3 linked regions of the Xenopus tropicalis genome follow. The protein of the gene in region 1 interacts with the protein of each later gene in a pairwise test. Links are inferred from orthologs where the notes say so. Each region holds a gene or a part of one and is shown in the gene's direction. Other genes may lie near its edges. The genes, in order: stx16, vesicle-associated membrane protein 5-like and napb.

What was found.
Region 2: the proteins of stx16 (region 1) and vesicle-associated membrane protein 5-like interact in binary tests that used the Homo sapiens proteins (3 or more experiments, as listed by UniProt). The two-hybrid records come from large-scale screens. The link is inferred for Xenopus tropicalis from reciprocal best matches to the Homo sapiens genes STX16 and VAMP5.
Region 3: the proteins of stx16 (region 1) and napb interact in binary tests that used the Homo sapiens proteins (3 or more experiments, as listed by UniProt). The two-hybrid records come from large-scale screens. The link is inferred for Xenopus tropicalis from reciprocal best matches to the Homo sapiens genes STX16 and NAPB.

What each region holds. Positions count from the first base shown.
Region 1 is NC_030686.2:2,857,643-2,861,395, forward strand, and holds the start of stx16 (syntaxin-16), read left to right. Parts: upstream 1-825; 5' UTR 826-996; coding exon 997-1,122; intron 1,123-3,753. UniProt on the Homo sapiens protein: SNARE involved in vesicular transport from the late endosomes to the trans-Golgi network.
Region 2 is NC_030679.2:125,676,770-125,680,454, forward strand, and holds vesicle-associated membrane protein 5-like, read left to right. Parts: upstream 1-847; 5' UTR 848-998; coding exon 999-1,130; intron 1,131-1,491; coding exon 1,492-1,629; intron 1,630-2,848; coding exon 2,849-3,028; 3' UTR 3,029-3,539; downstream 3,540-3,685. UniProt on the Homo sapiens protein: May participate in trafficking events that are associated with myogenesis, such as myoblast fusion and/or GLUT4 trafficking.
Region 3 is NC_030681.2:24,913,280-24,916,932, reverse strand, and holds part of napb (beta-soluble NSF attachment protein), read left to right. Parts: intron 1-737; coding exon 738-793; intron 794-2,385; coding exon 2,386-2,470; intron 2,471-2,842; coding exon 2,843-2,947; intron 2,948-3,653. UniProt on the Homo sapiens protein: Required for vesicular transport between the endoplasmic reticulum and the Golgi apparatus.

The sequences.
Region 1 (3,753 bases):
CCTCTGTGCCCAGTTACTGGGATGGCTGATAATTCCCTCTGTGCCCAGTTACTGGGATGGCTGATAATTCCCTCTGTGCCCAGTTACTGGGATGGCCGGTAATTCCCTCTGTGCCCAGTTACTGGGATGGCTGATAATTCCCTCTGTGCCCAGTCCAGCTGGGAAGTCCCTACAGAAATGGATTCAGAATGTTGCATTAACCCCAGACCTGATATACATATGGGTGTGTTGAACTACAACTCCCAGAAGCCCCAAGATATCCTGAGTTAAGGATCAACTGCAGAAAGTGACAAATGGCAGCCCCCCCACATCATAATAGAGAGTAATGGTACAATCTCATACCCTATAGAGCAGGGAGCAGGTTATAGAACAGACAGGTTCAGCCTGAATAGAATAGAAATGGGAGCCTCTGTCTATACTGTCCAATTGCATGCTGGGTATTGTAGTTTTATATTAATCCTAGCTGTAGGCTAATTGTTAGCTACAAACTACATTACCCAGCATGCAGTGGGTCAGGTACGTCAGGTTTCCTAGGGAAAAAAACTGGCTAGTTTCCAAACTACAAACCCGCCAAGGCTCCAAAAAAATAGCCCAAATCTGTACCTTGGCGGGTTTGTACTTTGGAAACTCGCCTGGGCTGTAAATTAGTAGCCCAATTTGGCGGGAAAACCGCCAACCCTGACGCCCGGAACCTTTACCTAAGGCTTCAGTTTCCAGAAGGGCAGATTCCAGAGGCGCGCCATTCGAGTAGTATGTGACGTCACGGTCACCTGATCACACTGAGGGCGGAAATGCAGTTCAGTCGGTGGAGGCGGAAAGGGGAGAGACTTCTGGCGCTGGAGGCGGAAGTATCTGTGACAGGGGCGGAAGTGGAATTGTGTGCTCGTCTCTGTGGGATGCGGCGAGCCGGGCGCAGGTCGGAGGGGCGGTGGCGGCGGGTCCCTCAGGTTTGAGTGTCCGGTACTGGGGAGGGTAGGAGTGGGCTGAGGCCGGACCATGGCGACCCGCCGGCTGACCGACGCCTTCTTACTATTGCGGAACAATGCGGCCCATAACCGGCACATTCTGGCCGAGCAAGTGAGTAATGAGAGGCGCCCGGGGAGTGCGCGGAGCCCGGGAGCGGTGAGTCTGTGACACCGGGGGGCGGGGCTCGGTGTGTCTCTATGGCCCGGGGTGGCCCTCCTGTGCCGGGAATGGGGGGCCGGGATGGGCACCCCCAGGCCTATAGCTTCCTCTGTGTGTGCTGGGAATGGGGCTGCATGGACTGTGAGGGGCCCTGGGCTTGTGTCGGGGTGCAGCTGGGCCGCCATTGGCTTGCATGGAACTCAGGGAGGCTCTGGGGGGATGCTGGGAAATGTAGTCCTGTGTGTATGGGGCTGCCCTGCCTAATGGTTATATTAAAGGGGAACTTACCCCTGGGCTTAAAGTGTAAGATAAAGTATTCCCCCCCCTCCATTACTGTGCCCGGGGCATGGGCAGGAACCGTATGCCAGGTTAGGGCTTCCCCCCTCCATTACTGTGCCCGGGGCATGGGCAGGAACCGTATGCCAGGTTAGGGCTTCCCCCCCCCTCCATTACTGTGCCCGGGGCATGGGCAGGAACCGTATGCCAGGTTAGGGCTTCCCCCCCCCTCCATTACTGTGGCCCCGGGGCATGGGCAGGAACCGTATGCCAGCTTAGGGCTTCCCCCCTCCATTACTGTGCCCGGGGCATGGGCAGGAACCGTATGCCAGGTTAGGGCTTCCCCCCCCCTCCATTACTGTGCCCGGGGCATGGGCAGGAACCGTATGCCAGCTTAGGGCTTCCCCCCCTCCATTACTGTGCCCGGGGCATGGGCAGGAACCGTATGCCAGGTTAGGGCTTCCCCCCCCCATTACTGTGCCCGGGGCATGGGCAGGAACCGTATGCCAGGTTAGGGCTTCCCCCCCCCATTACTGTGCCCAGGGCATGGGCAGGAACCGTATGCCAGGTTAGGGCTTCCCCCCCCCCATTACTGTGCCCGGGGCATGGGCAGGAACCGTATGCCAGGTTAGGGCTTCCCCCCCCTCCATTACTGTGCCCGGGGCATGGGCAGGAACCGTATGCCAGGTTAGGGCTTCCCCCCCCATTACTGTGCCCCGGGGCATGGGCAGGAACCGTATGCCAGGTTAGGGCTTCCCCCCTCCATTACTGTGCCCGGGGCATGGGCAGGAACCGTATGCCAGGTTAGGGCTTCCCCCCCTCCATTACTGTGCCCGGGGCATGGGCAGGAACCGTATGCCAGGTTAGGGCTTCCCCCCCTCCATTACTGTGCCCGGGGCATGGGCAGGAACCGTATGCCAGGTTAGGGCTTCCCCCCTCCATTACTGTGCCCGGGGCATGGGCAGGAACCGTATGCCAGGTTAGGGCTTCCCCCCCTCCATTACTGTGCCCAGGGCATGGGCAGGAACCGTATGCCAGGTTAGGGCTTCCCCCCTCCATTACTGTGCCCGGGGCATGGGCAGGAACCGTATGCCAGGTTAGGGCTTCCCCCCCTCCATTACTGTGCCCGGGGCATGGGCAGGAACCGTATGCCAGGTTAGGGCTTCCCCCCCCCATTACTGTGCCCAGGGCATGGGCAGGAACCGTATGCCAGCTTAGGGCTTCCCCCCTCCATTACTGTGCCCGGGGCATGGGCAGGAACCGTATGCCAGGTTAGGGCTTCCCCCCTCCATTACTGTGCCCGGGGCATGGGCAGGAACCGTATGCCAGCTTAGGGCTTCCCCCCCTCCATTACTGTGCCCGGGGCATGGGCAGGAACCGTATGCCAGGTTAGGGCTTCCCCCCCCCATTACTGTGCCCGGGGCATGGGCAGGAACCGTATGCCAGGTTAGGGCTTCCCCCCCCCTCCATTACTGTGCCCGGGGCATGGGGCAGGAACCGTATGCCAGGTTAGGGCTTCCCCCCCCCATTACTGTGCCCGGGGCATGGGCAGGAACCGTATGCCAGGTTAGGGCTTCCCCCTCCATTACTGTGCCCGGGGCATGGGCAGGAACCGTATGCCAGCTTAGGGCTTCCCCCCCTCCATTACTGTGCCCGGGGCATGGGCAGGAACCGTATGTCAGGTTAGGGCTCCCCCCCCCCCTCCATTACTGTGCCCGGGGCATGGGCAGGAACCGTATGCCAGGTTAGGGCTCCCCCCCTCCATTACTTGTGCCCGGGGCATGGGCAGGAACCGTTATGCCAGGTTAGGGCTTCCCCCCCCCTCCATTACTGTGCCCGGGGCATGGGCAGGAACCGTATGCCAGGTTAGGGCTCCCCCCCTCCATTACTGTGCCCGGGGCATGGGCAGGAACCGTATGCCAGGTTAGGGCTTCCCCCCCCCATTACTGTGCCCAGGGCATGGGCAGGAACCGTATGCCAGCTTAGGGCTTCCCCCCTCCATTACTGTGCCCGGGGCCATGGGCAGGAACCGTATGCCAGGTTAGGGCTTCCCCCCTCCATTACTGTGCCCGGGGCATGGGCAGGAACCGTATGCCAGCTTAGGGCTTCCCCCCCTCCATTACTGTGCCCGGGGCATGGGCAGGAACCGTATGCCAGGTTAGGGCTTCCCCCCCCCATTACTGTGCCCGGGGCATGGGCAGGAACCGTATGCCAGGTTAGGGCTTCCCCCCCCCCTCCATTACTGTGCCCGGGGCATGGGCAGGAACCGTATGCCAGGTTAGGGCTTCCCCCCCCATTACTGTGCCCGGGGCATGGGCAGGAACCGTATGCCAGGTTAGGGCTTCCCCCCTC
Region 2 (3,685 bases), on another chromosome or scaffold:
GCGGGCCGGAATTAAACAGACTAAGGGGGCGTAACGCTGGCCTGGCCCTGCCCGCCCTGGCCCGGGGGTAAGTAAATATGGCCCGTGAGCCAAAAAGTTTGCCCACCCCTGAACTAGGCAGTGGTATGAATAAGAGACAGGAATATGAAGTGGAACAGGAATATGAAACATATGAAATAGAAATATGAGGACTTAGAAAGATAAGTAATAAAAAATAACAATTGTTGCATTTAAAAGCTGGAAAGAGTCAGAGGAAGAAAGCAAATAATTCAAAAACTATAAAAAATATTAAATTTGAAGACCATTTGAAAAGTTTGAAATAACTGGCCATTCTATAACATACTAAAAGTTAACCTTAAGGTAAACTACTGCTTTTATTGTATAAAAATGATGAATGTACCAGTGAATTATACTCCTAGATATAGAAGGATTGTGCTTAAAAAAGTTGTGTTTCTGACTGATTTATTGAGAAATTCCCCCAAAACCCCACTAGTCCCGCCCATCTGTGCCACTTCCTGCTGGCTGAATTCTCTGGGTGAGCTGGGGAGCCGGCGGCTCTCAGTACACTGCATTGTAGGATAGGAACCAATCAGCAGCTAGGCTGACCTGATAGGGAACTGAAGCCTTTCTTTGCTTGCGTGAGTGCAGGGCTGTGATTGGCTCTCCCCCTCCTGCTGTGCTTCTGGCAGGGGCTGTTAGGACACGCCCACCCTTCATTTGAAACATGGACAGAGAACTGATAGGATCTATAGGGAGCTCCAATAAAGGGGCCATTTTTACAGAGAGGATTAATGTTTAGCCTAAAGTGAAAAAAGCACCTTATATTATTCATTATTGCCTACAAAATTAGAGGTTTTTTCCGTGTATCCTATATGTCTCCTTTAACAGCCATCAAGTTGCCTGCTATGCACACTTTAATATTTATACAGAATCCTTCAATCGGCATTATGGGCCTTCTTGGAAAATACCGTATTTTACCATCGATCCCGTAGGAGTGGATGATGAGACAATGCTATTCTTTCCTGGAAGGGCCATTACAACAACATCTGTGTTTGGAAAAGGAAAACTTTACCGTCACAATACTCAGCCATTTAATGGCATCTCCCACTGACCACCTGACAGGAAATAATGTAGGTTCTACCATAACAGGAAGTAGTGTGTTTGCTGTCCATTGACAACCTAGCGGTGTATGTGTGCCTGTGTTTGTGTGGGAGCACAGTTCCTTATATGAGCCAGAAGGAGGACTTTAGTTGGTAAAATGGGATTATTCCATAGTACATAATACTAGAAAAGTATATTTTTCATGCAAAGCCTTTCTTTATATGAAACATTGGATTACACATTGGCTGTTTTATGTGATATATTTTTACAGAAACCTGCATTGTACAGTTTCCCTTTACTCCCAAAAGGCCAGTGCTCATGTGTGATATAGTTCTATTATCATGGACTTCCTTAGAACCCTCACAGCACTCTCTGTTTTTCCAACCCCAGGCGAGCAACAACCTGGAATTATGTCAGCGCAACGCAGAGGAGGTGAAAGTCTTGATGAAAAAGAATGTTGACACGGTCATTGAGAGAGAAGGGAAGATCTCTGACCTAGAGGATCGATCCAATGATTTGCTTAACATGGTATGTCATGGGACAGGCCGTACGTACATGCAGTGGGCATACACACTTCTCTTTCCTGTGTGCAGCCTGCTGTGGCACACTTTTCATTCCCTTGCTTCACGTTTTGTATCCAGTTTCCCTCCCTTTGTATGCTGAGCGCCTTCCACACCCCTGTCATTATTCATACAGAACTGAGCTTGCTGCCACCCACCCCACTGTTAGTGTTTTGCTCCCCTAACATCAACATAGCTGGGCAGATGGGCATAACATTTGGAATTACAGTTCTCTGATGCCCAGCCATTACCTGCTTGCTTCAGAGCAGTGCAAAGCAGCCATGAAAGCACAGGTGGGAGCCAACTCGCAGCAGGAGTGCTTTGCTTGCAGGTGGAAAATAAACAAAAAATCTCATGTTAAACAACTCATGTAATAGATACACAATTTGAAGGAAACCAAATGTATTATGTATATTTATAATAGCTAAGGTTACTGTCTTGTCACTGTCTAGGACTGCCATGCAACTAGGGAAACAGGCCCATAGTGTCTTGTTCTGCCTTCAGTTCCCAGGCGTAACTCTGTGGCCCCAAAACTGTGTTCCTTTCATTTCCTGATGTGGATATAGTTCATCTGTCAGGTTCATTTCAGTTAAAAAGCCTATTCTGATTTGGCCAGTGCAAGCAGGTCTGGACTGGGGTTCCAAATAGACCCTGACGTTTCAAGTACACAGAGACCCAAACAGCCCCCCCCCAGCCCAATAAATAGTGACTGTCTATGGAATCTTACAGCAGCCCCTCTGGCATTTGCCTGAATCCACAGATTGTCAGTCCGGGCCTGAGTGCAAGGCTCTTCTATTGGAGACCCATTTGGTGTGCCCGGGAACTGGTATGATTAGTTTTGATTGAGCAATGTAGTACATTCCTTTGGCAGCAGGCCAGTCATACCCCCTTGAGAAACTGCAAGAGTGGGGGGAGACAGACGCTCCATGCAAGGAAAAAAGGAAAACATTGAGTAGGTGGGAGTGGGAAGGAAAGAACTTTATAACGTTGGTACAACGGGAGTGTGCATGTTGCAGACCTTTCATATTCCCACCTACCTTATTTAACATGCAAGATCAACACACAGCAGCGTGCATGTCTGCTTTCTGAATTTCACTAGAAAATGACCAGACTGTGGATGACAAGGATATAATATATCTGAATATTATAGAAATATTTAAAGTAGCAACTTTTTTTTTTGCACTTAGGCCTGCAACTTCCAGAAAACGGCCCAGACAGTGGAACGCCATACCCGGTGGCAGAAGTGGCGCTGGTACATCATTGCTGGAGGAATTGTAATTGTAATTGTGATCATCCTCATTGTCATTATTGTGTTGTTCACACTGCCAAACAATGAGACCCCTAATAATGCCAGTGGAGTGCATTAGATTAAAGGAAGGGTGTGCACAGGCCCAGACTGGCAATCTGTGGATTTTGGCGAATGCCAGATGGGGCTGCTGTAAGATGCCATAGACAGTCACTATTTATTGGGCTGGGGGGGGGGGGGGGCTTTTTGGGCCTCTGTGTACTTGAAATGCCTCGGCCTACTTTGAATCCCAATCCAGGCCTGGGTGTGCACCACTTACCATAAACTCTTGTAGGGTGATGGACTTTACTGCAAAGCTTCCCCTAAAGATCATAGCTCCTTGTAGCTTGTCTACCTGTACTTACCTGCAGGGTTGTACCCCATTGTTTTTTATTTGCAAAGAGTGTTGGATTACAGTCGTTTTTATTTTGCTGACGGTTGTGTTACAGTCCTTTCTGTTTATCTGCATAGAGACTTGCAGAGCACTGATTCTTTGTAACCCAAGAGCGGCACCGAGACCCTGTCTATGCCTCGAAGATGGAAATAATCCTTCCTTCACAAAAAGCACAATAAAATATAGTTAAACAAATCTATGCCCGCCTATTTCAGTGGGGAGAGGAAAGAGTTTAATGGCCTGGGGGGCAAAAGAACACCAGAGAGAGAATGGGAGCAAAGGTTCGTGGACTGGCAGGTATGCAAAAGAATGTTATTTATTAGGCAAACTATAACAGCAAGGCAG
Region 3 (3,653 bases), on another chromosome or scaffold:
GCCGGAAGAAGGAAGCGATCCGCTCCAGGTACCCCGGGCTGGTGCTGTTTTCTCCTAACAGGGGCACCAGCCCGGGGTACGAGGTAAGCGGTTAAAGTCACTTGGGGGTGCCTAACATTTTGGCACCCCCAAGTGATTTTGCCTTTCGTTTCCCTTTAAACGTGAACCCACCCCTTTAATATATTTGAAGGCAGACACAGCTATGACATTTCCTGCTGTCGATTAATAGTGACTGGTGCTACAGAGATGTTTCCATCACTGACCTAGTACTATGGGGGCATTTACTTTTCATTTTGGACACAGAAACCACAACTGGTGGGTGCAAATATACCATCAACAGAAACAGGACACTGTTTTCATTTGGCTTTTTAAACAGAGGAGAAGATTTATCAAAATGTGAGATTAGAGCTCACCACATAAAATTCACCCACTTTCTGTTCATTCCTATTCCGATTTTTAGAAGCATATTAATCAAATGGCAAACTCTTAACTTTCATTTATAACTGCTCTTCTTAAGACCCCATAGGAATGAATAGAAAGTGGGTGAATTTGATGTGGTCAGCTCTAATCTCAGTTTCATAAATCTGCCCCTAAGATATTAGGATTTAAAATATCAGGCAAACTTCATTATATTTCTAAGGTAATTCTTATTACCTGATTTTATGTACATTTTAAAGCAAAAAGAATCTACCTTTTAATTCAATATTTTTATATATTATATTCATTTTATCTCTTAGGCAATTGCACATTATGAACAGTCTGCAGATTATTACAAGGGAGAAGAATCAAACAGGTAAGCTTCTTGAATATGTCTTCTTAGTACCTTTCCCTATTTTCTAATAGTTCTCTATGTATTAAATGATTAGATGCCCCCAGCTGGTGGGTAGACATCAAGCCAGCTCTCCCACACCTTTACAAATTTAATTGAGATTCCACTTGCTTCATATGTGAGTTCAATTAATGGATTCACTAATTCTCACCTGTAAGAGAACGAAGGGGGCTTAGGTTGCAGCCAAAGTCATACGATGGCTTTTTTTGTGTAAGATAGTAACATATGGCAGAGTATCCTGGTGTGTTTATGGAGGACTAATTAGTCTATGACACACGCTTGACCAATTTTCACCAGAATTTTTAGTTGTTGAGACATCCCCACCTAAGAAATTCAGCAGCCAAGTGTTGACAGCAGGGACAGGAAGAGGATTTGCTGGGGACAACACCGTAGTACAGCAATAGTATAGTGATAGCAATGGTTCAGTCCATTCATGAGGAGACCCCATAAAAGGATTGCTTTTTCAGTCTTAAAGGAGAAGGAAAGTTGTTTTGGCATTTTACTGCCAATAGATTCACCACATTAGTGCCACCTAGAACAATATATTTATTCTGCAGAAAGCATTGCCATACCTGAGTAAAGAGACCTACAAGCTTTCTCCATTTGTTTAAGACAGCAGCAGCTGTTTGCAGTCTAGCGGTTTATCTCAGATCACACATTCATAAAGGAGGGGGGACTGAGTTTTATGAATTCTTATGGGAGAGGGGAGAGAGGAGAGAACTGCGCAGACTCTGGCAACGGAATTAAGGATTTTTCTGAGAGAGGAAGTCAGACACCCAAACATCATGTTTACAAAAAAGGAGACAAAAATCCTGTTTCTTTTGATAGAGGACTCTGTGAGTGCTTATGGCTGTATTTACATAGACCTTTCTGATAAAGCTTACTTAGTTTTTACCTTTCCTCCTTTACTCACAGTATACAGTATGTAGTCTGTGGAGAAGAACTAACGTTGGGAGAAATGCTCAAACTGATATATACACATCAAAATCTTCTCACTATGTTTCAATTACAATCACATTCATACTGGGCTGCACACGTATAGGTACATACATTGTTATGTATGCGTCTTTATGGGCTCTATAAACCCCATATTTTCATCTTAAATAATCATTTGCATTTCCACTCTGTCTCAAGTACATATTGCTCTAACCATTGCCAGAAATAGATGTAAAGGTCAGAATCATGTCCTCACGTATATCAAACACTTTGTTGTAGGTCTCCTGTGTCAGTTGAAGCAAATGGGGGTCACAGTAGGAATTGTGGGAGTGGGTATGTGCTGTTTAATCGCATTGTTCCCTGATGCAGGCTTGGGATTTTATAATAATATGCTGCAGCCTCTATGGTCAGTATTTAGCATGAAGGCTAATGAATAAATACAGAATTCCAACCCTGTATGGCGGATTGGCGCTAGAGTTAGAGCTGTTGGTTACACAACGGAGGAAAAAGAATATTGACACCATTAGCAGACAAGTTCTGGGATGTACCCAATGTAACTGGTTCTTATTTTGTTCTCTGATGCTTAAAAGTCTTTTTTTCTTCGGTTTATTGCATTTCAGTTCTGCTAACAAGTGTCTTCTGAAAGTGGCTGCCTATGCGGCTCAGCTGGAGCAGTACCAGAAAGCAATTGAAATCTACGAACAGGTTAGAAGTTAAATAGCAGTTTAATATTTATACTGTAATATTGCAAACAAATAGATTTTTCTAAAGAGGAATGAGGTTAAATACAAATTTATGATTTTAATCAATTTCCAAGCATGACAAAAATCAACAGAAATGAGCATATGTGTGTACGTGTGATGCATAATCTAAAATATTTAATAAATATATATTCCACTTGTAAATAAAAATAATTTATTTCTCATACATAGCCTGGGAACAGCTAGGATTTATGTTATAATGAGTGTGTAGCCTCTGTGTGAATGATTTAGTGAAGTTTGTAAATTTATTAGGAGGTTGTCCTTGAGTAAAATAATGCCATTTTATTTCTCAAACTGAAACTGATTTTTTTCCCAGATTGGTACAAGTACAATGGATAATCCTTTACTGAAATACAGCGCAAAAGAATATTTCTTCAAGGCCGCACTGTGCCATTTCATTGTGGATGAATTAAATGCCAAGGTGGGTAACTTGTTACTTTTCTATTCTCCTTTATATCTGCTGCATAGTATTGACTCTGTATATGTGCAAAGGCCTGTAATATTGTGATCAAACTTGACTCTAGTCCCATTCCATCAGCAGGTACAGGTATTATTTACTGTTCCACTGTCTGATTGGCTGATTTGGGGTACTGGTTCTAAGACAAATTTAGTGCCTTGTTATATATTATCTGGTTATTGTATTAAAGGGGTGGTTCACCTTTAAGATAACTTTTATATGTCATATATATGTCAGAATAGCTAATTCTTAGCAACGTTATGTTTATGTTTGAATAGTTTCTGCCTTCCTCTCTTTCCAGCTCTTAAGGGCTCTGGCACACGGGGAGATTAGTCACCCGCGGCAAAACTCCCTGTTCGCGGGCGACTAATCTCCCCGAGTTGCCTTCCCCCTGCCATCCCACCGGCGCCCGCGAACAGGGAGTTTTGCCGCGGGCGACTAATCTCCCCGTGTGCCAGAGCCCTTAGGGTGAAGACACACTGAGCAACTAGTAGCAGCTACTTTTTCATGGCTACTGAACACCAGAAAACACCGTGCTATAGACAGTACTAAGAATTGCCTCTGTTAAAACACACGTAGAGACAATTATCGGTAAATGATCAGCATTTTCTATTTTAGTAGCCACGACAAGTAGCTGCATGTGTCTTCACCCTAAATGGGGGTCACTGAC